3 linked regions of the Drosophila melanogaster genome follow. The protein of the gene in region 2 interacts with the protein of the main gene of each other region in a pairwise test. Each region holds a gene or a part of one and is shown on either strand. Other genes may lie near its edges.

Region 1 (7,732 bases), on a different chromosome or scaffold from region 2:
TTTGGGTTTCGGTCGGGTTTATGACAGTTGGGGCTTTTCGAATATTTTCGGTGGGTGGTGCTTTTGTAATGAGCTGCAATTATTTACCCAGAGTACGTGTTACTTGGCTCAATCATTTAATTGAATTACCACTTTTTTTCGTCCACCCGCTTTTTGTTTATTGTTGCAACAATTGTCGCGTGTTTGGGCCGGGTTTGTGTCTGGAATTTCTGATTTGATTTCATGTTGCGTGCAGTTCGAAATCCACTAACAACATTTCTGTGCCCCACTTGTGAGTGTGTGTGTGTGTGTGTTGCCAATAGTTTGTGTGTGTGTGTGTTGGCCGAATAAATGAAACCCCATTTGGCGACATTACGAGGCGTCTGGTTCGTAATGAGAGTCTGAATCAGATAGCGAATATGTTTCCTTTTGCTAATTTTTTGGTGTGCCTATGATTTTATCAACCGCAGTTACATTCTCTGGGATTTCTATTTTTGGAAATAATTGGTAAGAATGTGCGGGAATACTGAATATATTTTCATATATTTTGCTTAAGAACGCAATGATTGAATTCTAAGGTTAACAGAGCCTTAAATTGAGTATAAATGTAATTTGATTTATAATTCATTTTATTTGACTATATTTATTCGATATATTATTGTATAATGCATGAATTTTATTTGTTTCGTTTTTTATTTCACTATATTTATTCGATAAATTATTGTATAATGCAGGTAGACTTGTAGATTTAAGCTTTACATATCCTATCTGACACTAATTACTCTTTGGTGAGGTTTTCATCATCCGTAAGGTCGGGATGATCACCACAGCGAGTGGTGATGGTGATGAGCGAACTTCAGGGGCAGGGCTTTCAGATGGGCGTGGGGCGTGGCCAGCAGCTTGGGAAAGGCGTAGCCAATGGACACGCGGTGGGTGGTGGTCTTCGGTCCGGGAATGGCACGGTAGGTGGGTGCAAAGGGCACCGCCTCCAGGACGGGCGGCAGCACTTGATGGGTGACACTGGGCACATGGAACTCGGGCAAAAGAGGAGTAGGAGCTGGCAGAAAAGCTGGAGCTGGTAGAAGTGGTGCAGGTGCTGGTAGAAGTGGTGCAGGAGCGGGCAGAAGAGGAGCAGGAGCCGGTAAAAATGGTGCAAGAGCAGGTAAGAGAGGCGCTGGAGCAAATACAGGTTGTGGTGGAGCAAATGCTGGTGGTGGAGCCACCGCAGGAAGCAAAGGAGCTGGCGGAGGAAGGACCGATTCCTGCACCGCGTAATCCAAGTGGTGCGGCAGAGCATGCAGAGAATCCAAGTGGCTCAGATGATGTCCGTCAAAGTGGTTGACATGGTGGGGATCGAAGTGATTGTAGTGAAGATGAGAGGGCTTTGCCTCACCACCCACCAGCAGGAAAGCCAATGCAAAGGCCTAAAAATATTTAGGTTACCTATTAATATCTTTGGTCAAAAGAACTTTGCAGTCCTTACCCATGTCAGTTGCCACATCTTGCTTGGGGGATTTGAAGTTCGGTTTCTTTGGGGCAGTAGCTTCTCGATCGATGTGCTCGACCTGTTGGTTCGGCTGCTAATGTCTTTGCATTGTCAAATTAAATTAATATTTATAGCGAATTGAAGGCGGTACGCAATCAAAAGACTTGCACTTGCATTTCTTCACTTTCGACGACGACTTGGCCCACTCACCTAACTTAATGGGTTGCATCATTTGGAGGGAGGCAACCCAATCCCATTTAGTTGGTCAGCAAGTCGTGACTGAGACGGCGACTGCGAATGGCACTGCCTTCGATCGAGGGGCCAATAACTTCTTGGGCGATTCGAAAGCACGGCCCATGATTATATAACATGGGGCCAACCAAGCCCAGGCATTGACAGTTGCCCATGAGTGGAATATGATTATGATAATCCATAAATATTGCTTTGACCATAAATAACAATCGATATTGCGCCTTAGGTGACAACGCAATCACAACAAATATTGTTTACATGGTGACCAAGTTGTCTGACTTTAACTTCCCTAAGTCCCTAACTTATGTATGTTGCTACTTTGTCAATATTATCTTTAAAATTCAATGCAGCTGTTAGAAAAAATTCCATTAAAAATTAAATGCAGACCTATAATTTATGCATAATTTGTATTAAATGATATCCACCAATAAACAAGCTTATTTTGCATATCAAAGAAATGAGTGAGAAACGAGAAATTCAGAGCATTAAATGGAAAGTTCTAAAGTTTCTAAAAAAAAATTAAATAACTTCCTCTATCTGAAATCTGGAAATATATGGATGCTTAATAAAACCACTTGCACAAAAGGAATCATCTAATCAAAAATTGATCATAGTTAAGTAAAGAAGTTATTTTATATTTTCTTAAGAAATATATATATATTGACCCAATCGAAATGAGCGTCCAATTGAATTTTCATGAACCAAAAATATCCGATAAATAATAGTACTTTCGTTTTTCGTTAATTATTCAAGGCATTTCTGCAAATAATAAGATGGTGCGCTCTAATTGTTGGTTCGTAATTTATTATCAGTTTTTTTTTTTGTTTATCAAAAATTTCCTATAGTTTGGCCTGCTTCACAGGTGTGTCCTTAGACCACCACTGGAGCTGGAGCAGCAGCGGCGATGGGAGCAGCATAGGATGCAGCGTAGGGAGCGGCGTAGGGAGATGCCAGGTAGGGTGCAGCGTAGGGCGAGGCATAGGGATAGGCGGAGTAGGCAGCGGCGGCATAGGGAGCAGCGGCCAGAGGAGCAGCAACGGGAGCAGCGGCCAGAGGAGCAGCGACGGGAGCAGCCAGAGGAGCAGAGTAGGCGGCGGCCAGAGGAGCAGCAGCGTACTTGGCCACCACGGCGGGGGCAGCTGGGATTCCGGACACATAGCGGCTGGAGTAGGGGCCGGCGAACTCGAACGGAGCGGTGGTGTAGGAGGACAGGGTGCCGTCGTAGTTGTTGCGGACATCCACCTGGCTGCTGCCACCTGCGGCGTACAGAGGAGCATTAGCGTAGGCCAGGGGAGCAGCCAGAGGAGCAGCCAGTGGAGCTACAACTCCTGGTTTGGCCGCAGAGCAGGCGATGAGGGCAGCGAGAACCAACTGGAAAATAGGATAGGTAATCATTAACCACCTCTTAGTCCACATTGTTTGGGCGCTAATCCCCATAGGATCACTTACAAACTTGTACATATTGCTGTGGTTGGGTTTGTCTAAAGCACTTGAGCGATAATGTTCATTTGGAGCCAGACCAGTGGCTTATATAGCTCGTGCCCATATCCGTGCTCTTTGGGGGACATTCTGTCTGAGCCGATTTTTGGTCGCTTCTTCATTAGCTGGCCCACCTGGTCGAGTGCCAAGTAGCATACATGATCGCCATTTGGCCAAGACGTGCTCCGCCTTCAATTGCCCAATGGACTGTCGGAAGTTGTCCAAGTTGTCGCTTGAATATTTCGGTTGCACTTGGAAAAATATTTGAGCTTTGGTAAATATTATAAGAAAAGATATGATATAATTCTGATTTCAATGTATAAATATTTTATTTAAAATTTTTAACCTTAACTATTTAGTGCAGTGTATTTACATGCAGAGGTAAACTTTTTGTATAGCATACCAAGTTATAGTCTTTATAAAAATTTTTCCAAGTGCAGTGATCGACATTTGTATGCAATTGAAGACTGACTCGGTGGCCGGGCTGTCTTGTCGTAATTTGCAGTCTGTTTGGGCCATCAATGTGCGCCGCTTCGCATTGAATTGGCCGCAATCTAAGTCAAATTGGCCATAAAAATGGTACCCCTTCCTCAAAGGCCACGATTCCGGCCCACTAAGTGTCTCATTAGTTCACTTTTTAATGGCTTGCAGAGACGCCAATAAAAGGCGGTCGTAAATTTCCCTCTCATCCTAGCCGACGGGTCTTCATTTGTTTTCGTGTTGACCTGACCTTGACGCCACCTGGCCACAGGATGTGATGCACCCTCATCCTCATCCAGTGGGTCTCATCAATTCGCTTCAGCTTAATTGGCCAACAAGGCGCGGGGCCGAATGATCGAGCAGTCGAAACCTGCTTGCTAGCTGACTTAATGAGCCATCTCTCTCGGTCTCTCTCGGTCACGTGCTGGCCTGGTCAGCAGCATCGTCGTCATCTGATGGCTTGGTGTCTGCGATTTGCATTGTTTTACTCTTTATGATCGGGTACTTTTGCTACTTATGAATGTTTGTAAATTAGCATATTTTAGTGTCAATGACTTGGTAGAACAACCCATTAGGAGCATGATTTCAAAGAGCGAGTTTATGAAAAATCGAAGTTTTTCTGTAGTACAGTCACAAAATATTATACTCATACCGCTTACTAACAAATCGTATAGAGTATCTAAATGGTCGTTATTTTATAGCTGCTTCTGAAATCCGATACGATGATGACGCCGGTCTCAAGGTTGTCGCGATGACGAGTCGAGAGGGCGATATATATATATGTATATAAATGATATCTGGTGATCAAGTTGCCCCACGCATGTAACTGTATACTTTTCCATATATTCTGTATTCTGTATCCGCATTGTGGCCACTTTTGATCGGATTGATCCAATCTTGGCAGCAACCACAGCTAGTACATTCCAACTCCAAGGGTGACCTCTTCTCGTTCACTTGTTCACAATTTCTGGACAGGAATTCTCAACCGATGACGCGCCAATTTTCCGGTGACTCAAGCACGGAAATGAGTACATCTTTAACCATCTTCATCTTCATCTTCATAGACCATCGCCATCAACTTCTTGTCTTCAGCACTCCACTTCACAGCTGTGCGATCCGCTCACTTCCTAGTTAACCTTTTAAATTTATTTGCAATCTGATTTAGAGGCTCATCAGAAGCTTTATCCCTCTTAGGAATTGTTTGGCTGTCGTCAGTACCGTTTGCTTTAATTGATTTTTAAGCCCCAAATTTATGCAGACCATATTTCTAATTCCCGTTTTTGTTTTCGCGGGAAGCAGGTTCTATACGGCAGGCATAAATATGTCTAGATATATAGATAGATCCAGATCCCAGTTCCCAGTTCCGTTCCCAGATCTGATCAATGACACTTGACTTTAATTGGCTTTCATAAATATACGTCAAAAGTTAGTCGTTGTCTCGATTTCTTTTGTTTTCACAAGAGAATTCCGAATGCCAATGCCAAGTTTGAGGTCTCATTATGAGGCGCGGATGGAGATGGAGATCTCTTGGCCCGATTTGTGTGTATGTAAATAGCAACCATTAACCCATCGTAGGAGAGTGAAAGGTGTAAATCCAATGGACGAAGACCTCTTTTTTTTTTGTGTGTGCCCGCGTATTAACCTTCAAAACATTATGCAAATGCAGTCTCCATCGATGGCAATGAGACTAAAAATGGCCAATAAAAAGAGACTCAACCGAAAGGCTAAGCTTAGATGGCAAGTTTATTATCAATGTGTATTCACTAAGAGCAGAAGTCATCGCAGTTTGATGATCAGTCGGGATGGCTCTGGCTCTATTAAATGTATTGCTATTGCTATTCTATGGGCTAGGATTGCTGGACTAGCGCCTCTGGATCTGCGGTGTTCCATAGGAGGTTAGCCCCGTGGTTCTGGGCACACTGGCATATGGTGCCCCAGCCTGCAGCGGAAGTTGCGCCACATTCAGTGGAGCAATGCCAAAGGGCACTGGCAGCTTGAGATTCAGCGAGTTGGCATCCACGGAAGCGGAGGATATGGAACGACCTGTGGCCGATCCCGCAGCAGATGATACTCTGGCCACCTGCTGGGGCTGTGGTGCCGGGGGAGCCACCTGGAGGGCAGACGACGGTGCTCCAAATACGTAACCCTGGCTGGTCAGAGCCTGGGTGAAGGCGGCATGCTCCAAGGCGGGCTCGGCAAACTGTCGTGCCACTTGGGGATACTGCTGGTTCTGTTGGTACTGGTTCCTCTGGCTCCGCTGCACGGCTGGCCTGTTGGGAGCGGGATAGTGATAGTAACCCAGCTGGGTGCTGGGTGCTATCGAGTAATCCAGGTGTGAGACATCGGCCAGAGCCAAGCTCATGAGTTGCAGCAGAGTAATCCATACACAAGTCAACTGAAAGTGATTTGATAGGGTTAAACCTTGATAGCTCTTCACACACTAGATATTGCTCTCACATTGGGCGCCATTTCACTTCACTTTTCTTTGGGTTCCAGTTCTTGGGGTAAATGCAGTTTAAAGGCCAATATTTTTGCCGAATCTTATAATCGTTGATGTGCGCTGGCGCAGCTTTGGCAGCTGATTAAAATTTGTGAGCCAGCTGAAGATGCTTTTTATATGCGTATGGAGGAGCTGCGATCGGTTCTCAGACCCCTCTCTCTCTCTCTCTCTCTCATTCTCTCTCTCTCTGTCCCACTCTGTTCAGGTCTTCTTTTGGCTCTTGGTGAACGGCTTTGGGCCAACACTTTGAGTGCAGGCCAAGACGAAGCTTTTTTGGCATTTGTAGCTGCCTTTGTTTATTTACTTTGTTTATTTCTGGTGGCTTAACAAAGCGGTTGCCGGACAGTTTCATCTATTGATAATATTGATATTTGGCTGCCTTGCATATAAATCAATGTTGGTCATTTTTATTGGCATCCAAGCTATGCAACTACACACAATTAGCAGTGGAGCCCTATGGTCACAACCAGAGGGGGGAACTAGACGATTTGGTTTTGTAAATACCCCCACTCCACCACCACTGTTCTCAGCTTTTCTGCATACCTCAGGCATGTCGACAGCATTTGAGCTTATTAAACACAAATCGAATCGAGCGTCATGTGACAGGAGCTAGTTAAGTCGCACACACATAAAAACCATAGCCATTAGCCCAGGCCAAAACGGAGGACTTTGGCGGATCGGTGCGAGATTTGCATGCTAAGCACCAGATTGTTGTCCGTATCTCGGCGTTTGATTGCCGCTCTTTCGCTGCGTGTCTCTTGTCTCTCATCGCAGATTGACCTCAGATGGTGGAACGGAATCACAATCTATGCGCATCCGAATTTAATTTACACTGAAAGAAATGGGGAGCCACTTTTCACTATCGGAATTAATGTTAAATACAAATTTATTATTATTATACCCGTTACTCGTAGACCTTTAGATAGTAAAATACACTCACAATAAATGCGGATCCGAATGAGGTTTACACTGAAAGAAAAGGGAGGAACTTTTCCTGTTTTTATTTAAAATTCAGATATATTAATTTAATATTACACCCAGAAACTTACTTATTCATTTTTTTTTTTTCATTTTACTAACATTGATTTGCCAACAGAAAATGTTAAAATTTCTATTTCGTTCGCCCACTAGATGAGTAGTGGGTATCTTATAGTCGAAGAACTCGACTATAGCGTTCTTGTACTTCTAGTAATTTAGCTAATGTGCTGTTTATAGTGTAATAGCTTGATTTATTGACTTATAGATGTAGGTATCTAAGAAAATACTTATGTATTCTAATTCAAGATAACAAGATCCAATTAATATCCAAAAAGTGGACAAATACAGTTCTGTCTTCTTAAACATTAAATCTAAATGTTAAGCCGCCACCCAAATATATTAGTATTCAAACTTAAATACGGAAATACACAATTTACTTGATTTATTTGTTTAATAACAATATTTGTAGTGTAATCAAGCTGTCTATCTGTGAACTCAAAGGCTCTTTAAAGTTTAAACTGTTGACCCAATTGACGGATGGCTCCGCTATTTCCCTCTTTCATTCATTGACTTAGGTC
Region 2 (8,024 bases):
AGTACCGGATTATATGCTAATTTAGCATTTAGTGAAAGTCTTTAATCAAATAGGTAGCTGGTACATAGACAAAGGTCTTCTTGAACCGATCCAAAAGCACTCCGCCAACTGTTTGCTCCACCGCCGGACGCAGTACCTCAAAGAAGTCGCGCCAGTTTTCGTTGAACAAAATGTGTGCAGTATCCTCCAGATCCTTGTTGCCGCCAAAGAGATTTTCCAGCTTGATGCGGAATTGCTTGATCTCGCGGAAATTTACCTTTACACTTTGCACATCAGCGAAATAACCATCTGAGGTGGCCAGCGGTTTGACAGCCAATTCCAACAATAACAGAGCATTTTCTGAATAAAACCGGCTTTAAGATAGTAATTCGCATAAATTGTAGATTGCATCTTACCAGCTTCGAAGTATCCCTTGCCATGACCATTGAGATTCAGCGCTGAGACGTGTCCTTTGACTTTGTAATCGAAATTGAAACGCAACTTGGGCACGGAAATCAAAGTCCTGGCTACATAGTGATTTGGATCCCAGCTGAGAATTTTTAATGGTCAAACTTGATTTCGTCAGAATCTTTAAATAGGTTACCTGGATTCCAAGACTAATGCTTGACCAGCACCTGCTACATAGACTTCCTTCAGATCGGCATTGATAGCTATAGACCTGCTGGCATCCTGGGTAAATTTCACTCTCTTGATGTAAAAAGGATCAAAGGATCCCACGGCATTGTAGCCGGGAATTCCGTCCTTCCACTGACGGAAGAAACTCTGGAAGTTTTTGGTCAGACAGACATTAAAGTTGGGATCGCCCACGATACATGGGATTAGGAAGTCGGCTGAAAGTTGTACATTTAAGAATATTATTAACTTAACTCAACCAAAATATGTTGTATTAAATGTTTATTACGTTTCTCTGCCAGATATTTAGCTCCTTCGACTGCTGAAAGGAGTACGGCTACAATACTCAGGAACTTGGCAACTTTAATAAGCATCTTGATAATTTTATTCCAAAATGTGATGACTAGAACCGTTTTCTTTGAATGCTCTGATTGAAATGACGATTCTGTCTGGCCGCCGGTAATTTTATTCGAAATGGACCGCTCGAATGTATAACTTTTAAAATCATTTCTTTGTTTTGCCGATTTATATATATTTATTTTATTTATTTCGGTACAATTAGTAAGTAAACGAGTTTGGCCGCATTAGACTTGTTGTGGTCGTACAGGGTGCCCAAATCTTTCGATTCATCTGATGCGATACCCTAGCTCGAAAATGCATTAATTTTTATAATATTACTTAGCCTTTGCCTCGCCGGCGACTCCATTTCCAGTTGTAAAGTACTGTCATAATACATATATCTAGATACTTAGACATATATTCTATTCTATATATTCTATCTCACTTTCGCTGGAGCCGAACTGGTTCTACAAGATCATTAAGATGCGACGACTGTAATGCTGACGGATTTATTTAGTTTAGTAGATCTCTCTTAAGAATATATATTCCAATTAATTATAGGCGACAATTCTAGCAAACTATCTTTGCATATATGCATACTCAAGTGAGGAAAAGAAGCCAAGCGAATGTATTTATCTGCATGCAACCATGACCAAGGTCTGCGGTTCTTGGGTTAACGAACTTGTGGTTTTGACATAAGTACCTACACAGAAAACAACTAATTATGAATTATGTATCATGGGAATTTTCTTATTTTAAATACGCATACATTTTTATTCTTTGCCACAGTGAGACCTGAAAATCTGTGGTTCTGCATTATTATTTGATGAATATGCTATATGACTTGTTATTTGGTGTATTTTGCACAGTGTAGAATGTGATTTCAGATAGATGAATGCAAATCCCCCGAAATAAATGGAATAAATTCAGTATTATAATGTAGGTTGACAACTGTGTTTGTTTTGAATGTGGCTTGGGGATTTTGGCAATTTATTTTATATAAATTGGATCCTACTTAACTGGTTGTTTGTGAAATAAAAAGAAAACATCATATAAACTAATTTAAATTCTAGAAATCTCCAGAGATCTAGTCAAACCATCACATTTTTTTCTGCCTATCTATGACGTAATTTCAGCAACCTGTTTCTTTAGCCAAAGCATTGACTAGGTCAGTATGCCAGCATATAAGTTTTTGTATTGCTTTCTTTTCCTAGCTTCAAGTGTGAGTTTTGACAGGCTAAGAGAAATGGCTAAATAAGCTGTCAAATTGCATGTTGTGGATGCAGATTGCCATTGGCCAGTGCACTTAACTGGGAGCAAGGTGTTTGGACAGGTATTTGCAATCGATTAGCAGGTGGGGGGGAATTGACTTGCATAATTGGAATGCTTAGCAAGTGCAACACTTCCGCACCTCGCAGTACTGGCATTTTATTCTTTTCTGGATTGTAGATTTCAGTGATGCCAAAGGTACTTTTTAATTGTGTCTATGAAATAAACTTTAAAGATAACTAACACCTGATAAATCGATGTGAATTGTAAAAGTTTTTAGATGGCACTTGAAAACTATTTTACATCGCACTTTGTACCTCAAACTAGAGTGTGCCAATATGAGTAGGATATGGAGTGTAAGTGTACCAAGTGTACCTAGTTCTCATCACTGTTGCTGCTCTGATCTCATTGCGTATGCGTGAGTGTTGCGGTCTGGAAGCATAAATTGCTGGCCAAGAATTCGAGTAGACGACATTAACAACCTGATTGGAAATTGCTGCGCGTCGGCTTGCTGCTGGTAAGTGAATTACCTGTAGAGGTGAGTGAGTGGGCATATCGATCGGACGTAAGTACAGCTGGCCGACGACCGCTTTCGATTTCTATGCTGCATTCCAAGCCAAGTCGAATCGGTTCTCGGATCGGATCGGGAGCTCGGGCCTCGGTTAACGTATTCGTTTTCGTTTTCTGATCGCAGCTGATCGCCAGATCCAGAGACTTCGGCTTGAAGCTTTAGTTTCTGCCATGGTTTTTTCCCCTCTTGGCCCGCTTTTGCGAAATGTTGACTGCGGTATAAAAAGCGTTGCACGCCCTGATTTTCTTTTGAGTTTGTCGTTTCGATTCGCAGAGTCTCGAGTGCAAGTGCAGAACACATTTTCCATTTTCGCAGTGCATAACTACTTTGGGAGATTGGTGAAAACGGTTCGACATTGACAATTGGTTCTAAGCTTGGCAGCATGTTGAAATTGGTAAGATTCAGCAAGGTGGTTTATAGTGTTACATCTCCAAAGCTCGATATTCATATCGGTATGCAAAAGGTGTTTTCAGAATATGCGCAGTGAATTTTTAGAATGCAATTTAGCCAACCGGTTTGATCAGATCGGTGTCTATGATAAAGAGTAACTTAATTGGTGGTTCATTACTCAGCCATGTCCTTGAGTGAATGTTTGTGAACTGATAATCAGAGCAGCTAATTAAGGTATTTAGCCAAAAGTAAGGCAATAAAGGCAAAGTTCATGTATAATTGCTGACTTTACAGATGGGTGTGACCGAAATGGTGATTTAATGATACAAACGATTTGAGTCACTTTTTCACTCAACTCTTTGTTTTTCAATTTGCAGACCTTGAGCTTGGGTCTTCTGCTTCTGGCGGCCCACAGTGCGTATGCGCAACACCAGGACTACACCACACCGGTGCCCATTCTCAAGCAGATCGACAAGCACAACGACGATGGTTCCTACACATATGGATACGAAGCGGCCGATAAGAGCTTCAAGATCGAAACCAAGTACGCGAATGGAGAGGTCTATGGAAAGTACGGTTATGTGGATGACCAGGGAAAAGTGCGGGAAATAGAGTATGGAGCCAGTAAGCGTGGCTTTGAGCCCGCTGGCAGTCACATCAATGTGCCACCACCTACGCTGACCAACAGCAATCCCTATCCATTGGGACCCAACGAATTGGACGATGGCCAGTATCGTGAGGACCCCTCGGTGTACTACAAGGACCAGAAGTTCAATCGCCCCCTTTCACCGGCCAGTAAATTCAGTCTGAACGATTTCGGCCGCGGCCAGCAGCAGGCGTATGCCCCGCCACCTCGGCAGCCCGCCCCACAAACGCCCTACTACAATCCCACACCCCAATACTACAATCCCCCGGCTCCGCAGCCCCGTTACTACCAGCCTCCGGCCCAGAACTACTATAATCCCCAGCAGCAACAGCCATACAGGGGGTTGCCGGAGCAACATCATCCCTCCCTGCGAAATCTCAACCTCTACACCGGTTCCTATAGCATCGACTATACGGGCCGGAAGTAGGAAGGAGGACCTTTTGATGGGGGGATCACCTCTGAGTTGGGCCAGAGAGTCAGGGACTGAAGTGTCCGAGGACAATGTCAACTTGTTACTGCCAAATAAATCAGTCACTCCGCACACCCCACACATGTATCTATTACTGTACCTGTTTATATATGTTCTTGAATGTGTGTAATAAATCGAGTTTTGAAACCTGAAGCGTTTACAGAGAAAACGAAAGTGTTCTGAAATCATTAAATGTTTTGGTAATTGCTATGAAAATCAAAGGCAATTAGGGTGTTAAAGACAACTAGTAAACATTCAATCAATTTACGCTACCCTTTTCGCTGTCATTTACTGCTAAGTAATTATTCTCAGTGCTCAGAAGTATTTGAAATATCTGCTTTGGCATTCAATTTAGCCAACTACCAGGTTCCGCTTCAATTAAGCCGCCCCACAGCAGAAATTGTAGCAAAATCCAGCCGATTGAAATAAAGGCAAAGAGCCCAGCAAGTGGCCAATAATCGTTAGGCCATTACGTCAACACAGAATGATCGAGCCAAAACAACAAAAAACTACAAAAAAAAGGCAAGCATTGTGGCCGATTCAGATTGAAAACCAAAGTGGATTTGCTGTTGACTGGAATTTGGTGCACTTATGCAATGTGCTGGCCCCAAACCACTTTCAAATGCACTGCCACCAACGGCCGACCAGTTGGCCATAAGCTGTTGGCCATAAGTATGGTCTATGGTCTATGGTCTATGTACTTGGTGCTGGGTGGTGGCTCAACTGCCTTTGTCTTTTGGGTGTGGGGACTGCAGGTACTGGAAGAAGTGGCTTGAAGCTTGTTGGATAATTGGAAGTCACCCACGGATCAATGGCCAAACAATGAGCTTAAATCAGTGTGGTACTTAACTTTTCGTTAGCTTAAATAAGCTATTAATTAGGTAATTTAATTGAATTTGACTCAAATTTTCTGAAGGTTTTTCATTTTATTAAAACGGATGATTAGCAATTTATATATATGGTTACAGCAAACCCACAAAGTAGCTAATAAAGTAGCTGTTAAATAACTAAGAGCTATTCCCCGTTTAACTTTAAAGCCACTATTTATAGTTTGTCATATACATTCGGTTGTGTGAGCTATTCAAGTTCCTTTCCACTGTGCCAGTTGGCCAAGTCAGAAATTCAAAGCGTTTTGCTGGCGGCACCAACGAAGAATCAAGTCCAGACTGCACCTCTTAAAAAGCAGTGCACAAGCACACATTACAGGCTCTGAATTATTTGTATATGTATATATTTTCAGCATTTATATAATTCCGCAGAGCAAAACAGCGAAACTGGTCTGCTGCTGCTGGGGCGTTGGCATGACTCAAGAATTTCCTGCAAAACTGTCTACTTTGCCATGGCTGACTAGCGAACAGCTGCTACACTTACCACATTTTTTTGCAGCACCATTTTCTGAGGTGGCAAAAAGCCGTAGGTATGGAATTGTTATGATTCCCATTCAAAAATGCGTTGGCTGAGATGCCTCCGCGTTGGTCGAGTGTCGCATTGAAAATATGCTACTCCTTTGGCCCTGCATTCAATTGTATTGAATAGTTGGCTATCAATGGGGGAAATGTACAATTGTAAGCTGGAAATAAATGAATGAAATGCCAAGATTCAAGGAAGCATACCTAAAAAGATACCTTTAGCTCTATTGTGAAACCATTTCTAAAATTAAATTATGGTGCTTCAAATTTAAATACCGAATTTTTAAAAACATTCTCTTAAGTTTGTTGTTATATTCCGAAATATTTTTAGCGAACTCTTTCGACCTTGATCGTGGCAGTGCGTCTACGCATGCTCACAAGTTAAGGTGCACGCCCATTTGCCCCCCAGCCCGCTGCCCACGAACAAAAGCCGGACACAAACTAGTCTTTAAAATGATATACTCAGCACAAAAAAAAAAAAAAAAAAAGCAACTGACAAGCGAAATAACAATCGCACGCACTTGAAGACTGGAAACCGCCCTGCGTCATGGGCGGCACTTGAAGGAGGCATAAAGATACAGAAGGGGGGCGAAACTGGGGGGCAGGCAATCGTTGACGGTTTCCTGACAATGTGGCAATGTGGTGCAGTGGCCGACCAGTTTTTCAGCTGAACTATCGCCATTCCGCTGCGGGTTGCATTGCTGCCTGGTTCGTGTGGTTGTTCAGTTAAAACGGAGTGCTACCCGTGGTGTGTCATTAATTCCATCAGAACTACTCCCGCAAGGCCATTCCGAGTGGTTGTGGAAAAGTGGAGGCGAAGGAGTGGGGTGCAGCTAACACTCTGGAAAGTGACACGTTGCCTAGTTCTGGTTGTGATTCAGACATCAAGCATACGCACTGTTGAACCACCGAGAACAACATGGAAATAAATAAGATATTTCTTCGCTGGTTGGTTTGTGAACTATTCGGGTATCTTTTATCTTTTATATTCCTTTGAAGCACTAGATGCACTAGTATTTCTTAAATTCGAACTGTAGAGGATGTCAATTATGACAGTTTGAACATAATTGTATATAATTTATAGGCAAACCAGTTTTAAAGGGCTAGCAAACTATGCTTGCCAACTTTGCTTCATATTTTAGCAATTTATGGGCCTTACAGTTTTGATTAATTATCGTGGATGGCCACATCTCATTGAGGTTAGTTGCCATAGCGCACCGAAGGTCGCAGTTAGAGGTAGGACTACGACCACCCTGATTTCGTAAGCGATTTGTTAAATTTATTAAATTGTTTTGTATTACTTAACGACAACAAGTGGGTGACTTAATTCGTTGAGCTGTGGGGTCAGAAAAACTCTGGAAATTGGCAAATCAAGCAAAATGGAATTCTTTGAAACCGTTGGGCGAAGTTTAAACTTTAAAAAGGAACATTTCTTCTGAGTTACATTCTTTTGGCGTAAAATAATGTAATACATATGAAATGAAGTATATTTTATATATGTATATGGTCATTCTTGGCCATTCCTGTGGCGATGGCTAAGAAAAGCTCTTCAAAGCACAGAGAGAACTCCGGTGAATTCGCTGTCTCAAGCTCGATCAAGCTCTGCAGCCTCTCTTTCTCTTTGTATATCTCTATATCTTTTTCTCCAGAGAAACATTTCCACTGGCGACCGCTCTCCGTCCTTTCGTTGGTGAAGTTTTGTGGTGCTGCGGCCGTTGGTGCGGCTCGGTGGTGCAGTTGTGCTGCGGTGGTGCGGGATGTGTGGTCTTTGGTCCGTTATGGGAGAGGGAAAAAGGTTTTCCGCGATCGGTATATAAAGCGAAATACAACAACCTGGGCGGCTCAGTTGCCGTCGGTCACAAGTTAATACTCCACGCGATCTCCACCGAAGTCGGTCCGAAGATTTGGCCGATTTGCCCCAAGATAGTCGCCCGGTTCATTAGGGGATTTGGAATTGGAATTGAAATTGAAAGTGCTTTGTTGTCTTCGCCACTCGATATTCAGCTGGGTGTTGCCAGCGAAGGCCTTTTGCGATTGCATTCAGGGTTTAATCGATTCGAAATAGCTGGCCCCACAAAGCCAATCAGCGGATACAATTCAACAGTTCAACATGAAAGTGGTATGTGAGTGGGGACGGATATATATGTCGATGGGTGGTAAATATCAAAGGTCGTTCGACAGAATCACTGGATGCGTGGCCGCAAAAGGGGTGTATTTGAGTCTGAGACACCCAGACGTATCAAAAGTGGGGAGGTACTGATCTGTAAACTTACGTCATCGCCATTGCGGCGACTGTTGTGCAAATATCGCATAATTTGC
Region 3 (9,082 bases), on a different chromosome or scaffold from region 2:
CTAAGTGTAACAAAATACTCGAGCCGGCTGTTTGTTTATCCAATGTTTTTCGGTTAGATGAGCACACAACTCGAAAGCGACAAAGGTAGGGCACACATGGATATTTTTTTTTTTCGAATCGGAACAGTAACGTATACGACGAGGTCGCACACCCCGGAAGGTTCAGGCTCACAAAAAACAACAACCAGAGGACGTCAAAGATTTCACAGATAAACCAATTCGAGCAGGGCAATGAATGGGCAAAAAGGTCGAGCAACTTGCCGCTAAAAAGCGAACGTGTAGCTATTGCACCAGAGCGAATCTCTGCCATCAATGTTTGATCAGGACCAAAAAGGGGTAATAAACAATGGATCCGGGGCTGCAATAACCACGTGCACCGGCAAAGGGTTAAAAAAATGTGTGCCAACGTCTTGCTAAAAAGGCGTAAAACAATCAATTCGGCAAATAAAATTCGATTTGCGAAATGGGAATCGCAAAAGGGCAAGTACAAATTGGAGCTGTGTCGTCAGGAACGGTGTGATATATGATCTTAATATTTCATGCTTTCCATTCCAAGGGTTGAACTCTGACTCTCATCAAGTCTTTGAGAGTAACCAAAAATAAGGTTTTAGAACACCAAAAGGAACGACAATGCACATAAAAATTTCACATTACCTTAATTCATGTACTCAAATAAAATAAATTTTTAAACAAATGGCTTGATAATTTATCCATCTTTTACAAAAAAAGAAGAGTCCTCAGTTAAACCTACTTTTCTTCATGCTTGAGTTAATCTAAAATACAAGTTGATGGAAAATAATAATAAATCTATACTATAAATTGATAAAATAAACTTCAAAGAAAGCAGCCTTATTTCCGTGTTCGGTTTGATAGGGAAGAGTATGAAATGGCCCCTTGTGTTTTCTCCGTGTGGACTAATCCCTGTATATTTACACAGAAATTTGATTTGGTTAGGTATCTGCAAGTCGAACCCTCCGCCATTAGTCGACCCAGCCGAAGTCCTTTGTGCAATCTCATCGGACCGCATATGAATCGCTCTCCAAGGACCTGCACTTGCCGCAGCCGAAGATGCCAATCCATTGTGTTTGCGCCTTTTAGCATGTCCATGGCAATTTGTTTCCATTTTGGTTGCCTTATCGCCTTATGGCCATCGCCAAATTGTTTTTCCAGCCTCGCAGTGCATTAGCATTCGGGCAAGGGAGTCAGGGCATAGATGTCGTCATTGATCCGCCGATAGCCATCGAAACGCAGCCACCCCGTCCGCTAATGATGCGAGTCCCATCCGGGCCAGGTTTCATCCTCATCCTCAACCCTCGAGGAGAGGCGAGTGGGTCCCAGAAATTGAATGCAGCTTAGCTGGCTCACCCGCTGCGTATTTGCGCCTTTGCAGCACAACAGGACCAAAGAACCCAGGACCCATGCCGGTCTATAATAATGATTATTGCAAAGATAAATCCCGACACCTCCAACAAAGCTGCTCAAATGACAAACGCCGGCTTAGTTGTGGAAAAACTGACGAATTCCCGCTTATAACCCCAATAACTAACCATGAGCGAATCTTTTACCGACAGCAAATATATCTAGTTAACTTAAACATAGTTGAATGCTCAGGATGGCTAGACCTAAAATTATTTCTAAGATATTTGAATGATGAATATAAATTCTAATGGAGTATGCATACGAATAATATGTAATTTTAAATCTTTTTGTTAAAAGTGGTGGTTAGTAGTTGATATTTGAAATTAAATCATACAAGTTGCTGATAAAGATATCCTGCTTTCCCAATATTCAATTTACGTTGCATTAGGCAAACCTACGCCTTTTTTTAAAACTTTAAAACCTTTGAATGTAAGGCTTTGCAGTATGACAGCTCTATTAACGGATAAGACTGTCTTATTGTAATCTTCAGTTGAGATTGCGAATTCCTCACCGGCTTTCCAGCATCTTTACCACCTTTTTACCCTTTTCTCGTAACGGAAAACGTCAGTCAGTCAGTTGTTACCCAGTTAGGCAGTAAAGCAGTAAAGCATTTCCCTCGACTCTTGCCGGTTCGGTTCATTCAACTAAATAATTTGAGTGGCATTCATGCAGGTCCACTGGCTCACAGCTCATGTTTCAGGATTCCCTGTTTGGTCCTGACTGCTGCTGTTGGTACATTCGTTTTGTAATTGTGTGGCAGGTGACGGCAATCTTCCATTGTTCGAGCTATGAAGGCCGAGCCGGGAGTTCGAGTTCGGTTTCTACTTGAACTCACCCCATGTCGAATTGTAAGGGCGAAAAGTGCCCCCTACGATAAGAACAAGCTGCAGTGCACACACACAAAGCCATTCGTTTTATGTGCCCTGCAATATACAATATTTATTTGAATTTAAGTCCTTTGTTTGGGACCTGAAATCCGCACACAGCGGTACACTGATTCCAGGGTTGTTTGCTTTGGCTACTATTTTTGACTTTGTCCAGGAGTTCGTCCATTCTTCCCACTCGCAAAACCATTTTCTGGCTCGTTTTGATCGTCAACTTTATTTGCAAAAATAAATCTTTATGGTTTTACATCGAAATTCAATCTTATCACCTTAAAGTTCTGGCCCTGACTAGCTCGCTTTCCTTGCATTGCAATAACTGATATAGAATCTGGCATAACCTACATACACTTAATCGATTGTACAGTTAATTATGGCTAATACCTGGTTCATTTTAAGAATCCTTATAGATAGGTCTTAAATCTAGAATGGCAAGGTACGTATCGCTTACACTAAATGGACAACCGATTTGTACTATATAGTCAAGAAGAATGCGAATATGTTGAGAAGAAGAGTGCTTTTTGGAAAATTGATTACCCTAAGCACTTTTAATTCAAATATTCACCAGAGATCCGCAAGAAGGAAGCCAATGAATACAAATATAATGGGAATTCATATGAATTAATAATGAGTTCGTGAAGCTTAACTTTGGATGTTTGACTTTAAATTGGTTAATCTATTGAGGATCCCTCTATAACATGAAACTAATTGAGTTCAAAGATTAGCGCAAGTGTGAAATATACAATTTTTAAAGATATTTCATTTTCAAACTTGATGATAATCTTAGCAGTCAATTAGGTGCCTCGCTTATTACCAATATCAACGGATTGCAGGAAAGTTGAGAAAAGTAAGGAAGGGAAATCCCGAGATAGGACCCATAAGTTACTTTAGTTATGTTTTTAAAGTAAGTCAAGGGCAAATCGCTTAGAGGAATTCCCCTTGATCAGTTTCCTGCAATTTCCGGCAATCTTTTAGTATATCACGCTGAAAACCCTAAGATCGTAGTTTGGCCCACAAAACTGTGCTACACCTGCGGGGCGAAGTTTTTGTAGCTGTGTTGATGTGGAACGGGATGCACGTGTGCCTGATCCTCCGGATAGTCCTTCCATGGCGGTGTTTGCGAGTAGAAGCTGCTCTGCTGGTGAATCCCAGAATCCAAGTTCGTAGAATGAAGATTGGCAGCTGCATCGAAGGATCCCCTGAACAGATCGTATTTCTCCTGCGAGAACTGCTGCGGGCTGGACTCCTGCTGGGGATTAGGCTGCAGATGGTGAGGCTGATGCGGCTGCTGTTGCTGTTGGTGGTAAAACCGCATGCTGCCTGTAAAGTCGAATCCTGGTGGCTGCTGCGGATAGTCCATGCCGTGCTGAAAGCCACCCATCGCCGGCGGCTGCTCCGCGTGCGATGCTGGAGCAGTCTGGTGCTGTGCAAGAGGCGCCATTCCCTGTCCATAGGGGAACATTCGTCCGAACAAGGGATACGGCTGTGGATTCACGAAAAGAGCATCGAAGAGCTCCTTGGTAATCCTCTCACCACTCAGCGTGAAGTTCTGCAGCTTCTCCAGATCCAGGTTGATTGAACCTCCGCTTTCCAGCACCTGCTCCAGGGCAAAGATGTAGTTGTGCGCAAATCGCAGAATCTCGATCTTCGTCAGCTTCGTCTCCTCGGGAAGCGAGGGCAGAGTGACGCGTAGTTTCTCCAGGGCATCATTCAAGTTATGCATCCGATTCCGCTCCCGGTCATTGGCCTTCATGCGGCGGAAACGCTTGATCTTCACCACTTGGGTTGGACTGCGCGAGCGAGTTACTCTGTTCTTGCCGACGGCATATTTGCGTTTCGGTCGCGGCGCATTGGGATCCTCTGGCGACTTCACCGGCGTACTGGTCAATGGCGGATCGAAGACGCCATTCGTGGCCCGACTGTTCAGATGTTCGACCAGTGTCCTGCCGCTCCGAGTGCTGTGATTGCTGCTCGTATCGAGCAATCCCACGAAGCCCGCCGGCGGTGAGCTGAGCGGTACGGCGTCCCAGGTGCCGCCGGAGTACGGTTGCGGGATCGCCGGAGTCGGCGGAGTGCCAAAGTCCAAGCGGCGTCGTGAGCTCAACTGGGCCTCCGTCTCGAAACTCTTCTCGTAGCCACTGTCGAAGGAGGCGTCGTCGTCGTCCTCGTCGAACTCGAAGGACTGTGATCCAGCGCTATAGGCATTGTAGCAGGCGGCCATGATCTCGTATCTGTATCACGGTGTGTATATCCTTTAGCACATTTCCGATTTACGATTTCCGCTTTGAGAGAGTTGTTTCTTCGCGTCTCGCGTGCCCGCACCAACTAAAAGCTGGCGAGGAGTGCGCACCGGTTTTATGTGCCCGGCCAGCCATTAAGCCCGCTGATTTGGGTCCGGACTAACAGGCATCAACCCTCGGCGCATTGTCGTCGGTCGTGGCGGCGCCATAGCGCAAAGTAGAGAGCACAGAACCCCGACACAAATCCCAACAGATATGCGCCGTGATTGCCGCCCGGGGGTGGCTTTTGCCAACTCACACACCAACGTCGTCTAGCTAGAACTGCCTGCAGCGGGGTGAACTTCCTGGAGATGGAGATTCGTTCTGCGGGCCGCCGCTACCAGTCAAAATACGAGCATTTTTCACGCTTCGCTGCGAGCGGTGCTCTCTAGGCCAATCGGAAGGATGTCTGCGTCCGAGGATCAGCGGTGTCGCCAACGGCATCATCAAAGCTCGTCTCTATAGTCATACCCTTCCTCTAGGGTTATTTAAATACAATGTGCTTACTGCACAGCTTAAACTTAATTATATTTATATTAATGAATGAGTAGTATTGTTGGTCAATTTAAGATATGCTTTATATTATAGTTAAATTAAAAGAAGAAATATTATATTATTATATATTTTGTAAAAATCACTTAGTTTAAGGATAAATCCAAAAATTATTTGAAATAGGGAATACTTTTGTTTAATATGATATCTTCGGATCATTACGACTTTGTTATATTTTCGGTGTAGGTATAATTTTCGGACGAGATTTAATCCATTTCCGTACTAAAAGATTTCTTACCCTTTCCTACATATATAGAGTATGTGTGCTTCGTGGACTAAATAAATTGTTATTTTGTTTTATCGCCACATCGAAATAATGCGATTGCAATTCAAAAGATTCAATTACCATCAACTCTTTCGCCTTTCGCAACTAAACCGCAATAATCGTTTAGGGCTTACGCCTGTCGCTAAACGGGTTAGTGGCACGTGGCCAGGATGCCGCCTCCACTTACCAAAAGCAACATGTGTATTCAACGGAAAGCTCTCACTCCCACAGGACTCCATCCTCCTGGTAGAAAACCCAGGCGTTGCCACGTGCCGCGGTCTTAACGGCTGCTCAAGTGGCAAAGTGTGCCGATGTGGGATTCCTATCTGTGGCAATCCTGTTAAAGGAGGATCGGAGTTGCAATTTCAAGTGGGCGACGGGTGCCACGTGCGGATTTGTTATGATATGCGGCAATTGCCGCAAATTACCAGCACGAGTGAGAACTTGAGTGTCGAGGGGGCTAATTTAGTAATATGCCACATTTCAGGCAGTTCCTCCTAATGGAAATGAATTGAGTGCTTTTGTTGAAAAAATATAAACCTTGCTTCAGTAATTGTGACACCATCAATTTTTTCTTTAATAGTGCTTTATAAGGTAGCTAAGTATGTTATGAAAAATGTACTAAGTAGAGCTGATGTTTGATTAATTTCCTTATAGATTTCAAAACCAAGATAGTTTTATATAAATAAACAAATACTTAATGGTATACTTATTTATTTATTTTTTAATCAGTTTTCTTGTATGATCAGTACAATGAGTGTTTTCGTAACTTATAAAATATATTTATATATATATAAATATATTTATATATATAAATATATATAAATATATTTATATTGAAGTTTTAAACAGAATATTAATGGTAGTTTGTATCAATATCTTTATAAGAGCTAAGTACTACTAACAATGTTTCTTACATGAGAAGAAAATCTATCCCATATATGCCACTTAAATTCACACCAGCAGCCACGTGTCGCCGTCGTCGTCATCCATGTTACAAAGCTTCTCCGCCGCGTGTAGCTAATTTGGTTTTTTAGAGCCACAATGCACATCAATTAGGCAGTTAATTGAAGTGCGGATGCGTTTGCTTTTTCCATTGAGTGTTGTCCTGGACTCGATGAGAGTCCTTTTTTAAAGGCCCTCGGGCGGCGTTACAGTCCAAATAAAAACCGAAATACAATGCCGGAGCCGGAAACTTGGTCAAACAGATGTACACGTAAATAATTTCATCAAAATCCTGGCGTTTTGGTAGCCAAAGCAAATACCAAGTGTGCCCCAGGCTAATTGCATTCTAACAACCGAGACGAATTCGATTTTCCCAGCTATACACTTCATCTTCCTTGCTCCCTTCCTCTGCTGCGCAACCAACGAACATCCCTTCGCCAGCATTCGTTTCGGGCACGTAGAACATCGCCTCTGGCTCGGTAGCAGGCTCGACTTGTCAACAGCGTGTTAGAATGGAATGATGGCCTCCTCGTAAAGCGGATCCATATCCATTGCATGTGTAAAGTTATTCATGGGGGGGTTTGCGGCTGGAATTGGTGAGTTGGACGAAAGAGAGTCCGAGGACAACTCGATCACATCCGGCTGAAAGGAAGGCGATCGTCGCACATTTGGTTCTGTTATACACTTGGGCCCACTGCGTCCACGGTCACGTCCACGTCTTCTAATCGCAGAAACAGACCGAGTCACTTCCTCGAGATCTGTCGAGGAATCGGATGTAATGTGCTTGAAGACCGGCTTGGCTATCATGCGCGGCGATGGCGTGGACGATTCCGAAGGTGCTGGCGAGTCCGATGTGATGTGCACAAACTTCTTGAAGCGGCGCCTATCATATTGGCGGTAGTTGTAGCTGTTTGAAGATCCATTGCTGTCCTCGGTGTGGGAGCGGCTCTGACCGTTAAGACTCGCTGTGAGCCTTCTTTGGCTGCGACGTGTCTGGTCGTTATAGAAATTTGCCATATTAGTTCGCTTAACACGAACTCTTACTCCCCTGAGTTTTTCTATGTCTCGTGGTGTCAATCTGGTTAAGCACACCTGGGAAGAACGCGTCAGGCATTCGTTGATTTGACGATTTGTCTCCATTTCCTTAATATCGTTTGCAGATCTGGAATTGGATTCGTTGTTCACTGAGTCAAATTGTAAGCACTTGTTCTTAGGGTTCTCATCACTGCCATCCCACAGAAGGGTCTCCTCCGCGGTGTCGGTTTCTGTCCCGGTTTCTGATGGCGTTGACATTTCATTAGGCAGCTGAGCATTCCCTAAGCGCTGCATGTGGATAAGCTTATCTTTTTGTTTTCTTGTATTCGGTAGATCCCGTTGCGGTTGTCCAGTTTGTTTTGGCTTTTCGGCCGCCTGTCTCGCTTCCAGTCCCTCTACTTTGAACAGTCCATTTGGGATGACCTGTTTTAGGTCACTAGTTTTTAAGGCATCTCCCAGTGGCTCCTGGGTCTGTTGTCCAGTTCTCACGGGCTCCTTGGTCAAAAACAGAAACTCCGGAGTCTTCTGTGGCACTTTTGTAGTTTCTAGGCTCCCATGGATCAAATGCGTCTTGGTCTCACCAGTGGGCTGCAACACTTCTGGGTCCATGGTTAAATCAGACTTTGTGGTCGGCGAAGGTGTTAGCTCTTTACTTACACCGGTAGAACCTTCGCTGACCTCCTCCTCGTTGAAGTCGTGGGTAGCCATCGTGGAAGTTTCTGAGTTTACGCTTTCAGTTTCCGATCCCGTGCGAACGATATTTTGAACAAGCTGGGAACATGGCTGCACGGCGGCTTTTGCAGCTTTGGCCATTTTGAGGGCCTTCAAGATTTTGAATTTGTTTAATATCGAGCTGCACTCTATCATGCTGCTGCTGTCTTCTACCACATTCTGCAGCTCTTCCTTCTTGAAACTCCATATGTCGGCGATCGGCTTAAAACCGACGGTTTCGTTGGTAAATTTGGGTCGTGACTCCATCAGTTCGCTAATCGTACGCTTTTCGACACGCGCAGATGTTTCTTGTAGACACAGTTGTTTTGGAGGCTGGACTGCGATTTTTGGCTGCTCCTCGACGACGGGCTGCGTATGAAATTGGTGATGTGATGTCTCTGGAGAGCTCGATCGTCGCCCACCGCGCACACTTCGATCCATGTCAGACAACATGGCATTGGCTACCATGGCTGCCGCCCTAACCCGAGTCCGGCGGCCATTTCCTGTGTAGTAGGGCTCCGAATCGCTTGAGGCAGCCTCCTCCTCGTCTTCCGAAAATACTACTGTGGGATTTTAAATTGAAATTATTAGTATGACTGAATTATTAGTTATTATGAAAGGAAGTGGCTCAAAAGAAAACGATTTTGTTGCTAACCTTCGTCCCAAAATTTGCGTTTTGCGGGTCGCCGCTTTTTCTGCTCCTTGGCTTTCTCTGCTTCATCATCCACTGCTGACGTTTGTTCAGCTTCTTCCTCAGCCTCTGGGAGATTAACCGCATTTTCGTAGCCCTCTTCTATGGTGCCATAGTCCAACTGAGGGCGATCCCTGTATTTGGCATAGTCGATCTGGAGGTACTTCAAATCGTCGCCAGCTTCGGCCATGTTAAGAGACACAAATTTTCTCTTGAGGTCCGGGCTTTTGAGAAGGGCATGGCAACGCTCGTGTAGCGTGTGCCAATCGAGAGCCCATGAGTATCGTTTATTCCGTGGTTGGAA

The links.
Region 1: the proteins of Cpr97Eb (region 2) and CG13047 interact in a two-hybrid assay, tested with the Drosophila melanogaster proteins (one large-scale study listed by BioGRID).
Region 3: the proteins of Cpr97Eb (region 2) and tap interact in a two-hybrid assay, tested with the Drosophila melanogaster proteins (one large-scale study listed by BioGRID).

Annotation. Positions count from the first base shown.
Region 1 is NT_037436.4:16,282,178-16,289,909, forward strand, and holds CG13047 (uncharacterized protein), read right to left. Parts: upstream 3,220-7,732; 5' UTR 3,179-3,219; coding exon 3,167-3,178; intron 3,089-3,166; coding exon 2,588-3,088; 3' UTR 2,503-2,587; downstream 1-2,502. Other genes in the region: CG13048 (uncharacterized protein), read right to left, coding at 801-1,403, 1,463-1,480; CG13046 (uncharacterized protein), read right to left, coding at 5,538-6,071, 6,134-6,145.
Region 2 is NT_033777.3:27,086,141-27,094,164, reverse strand, and holds Cpr97Eb (cuticular protein 97Eb), read left to right. Parts: upstream 1-3,034; 5' UTR 3,035-3,173; coding exon 3,174-3,185; intron 3,186-3,558; coding exon 3,559-4,254; 3' UTR 4,255-4,461; downstream 4,462-8,024. Other genes in the region: CG14258 (uncharacterized protein), read right to left, coding at 29-339, 396-529, 584-830, 902-986; Cpr97Ea (cuticular protein 97Ea), read left to right, coding at 7,816-7,824.
Region 3 is NT_037436.4:17,355,232-17,364,313, reverse strand, and holds tap (target of poxn), read right to left. Parts: upstream 4,633-9,082; 5' UTR 4,522-4,632; coding exon 3,325-4,521; 3' UTR 2,503-3,324; downstream 1-2,502. Other genes in the region: CG7692 (uncharacterized protein), read right to left, coding at 6,849-8,650, 8,743-9,082. UniProt on the Drosophila melanogaster protein: May play a role in the specification of the sugar-sensitive adult gustatory neuron and affect the response to sugar and salt. Regulated by POXN.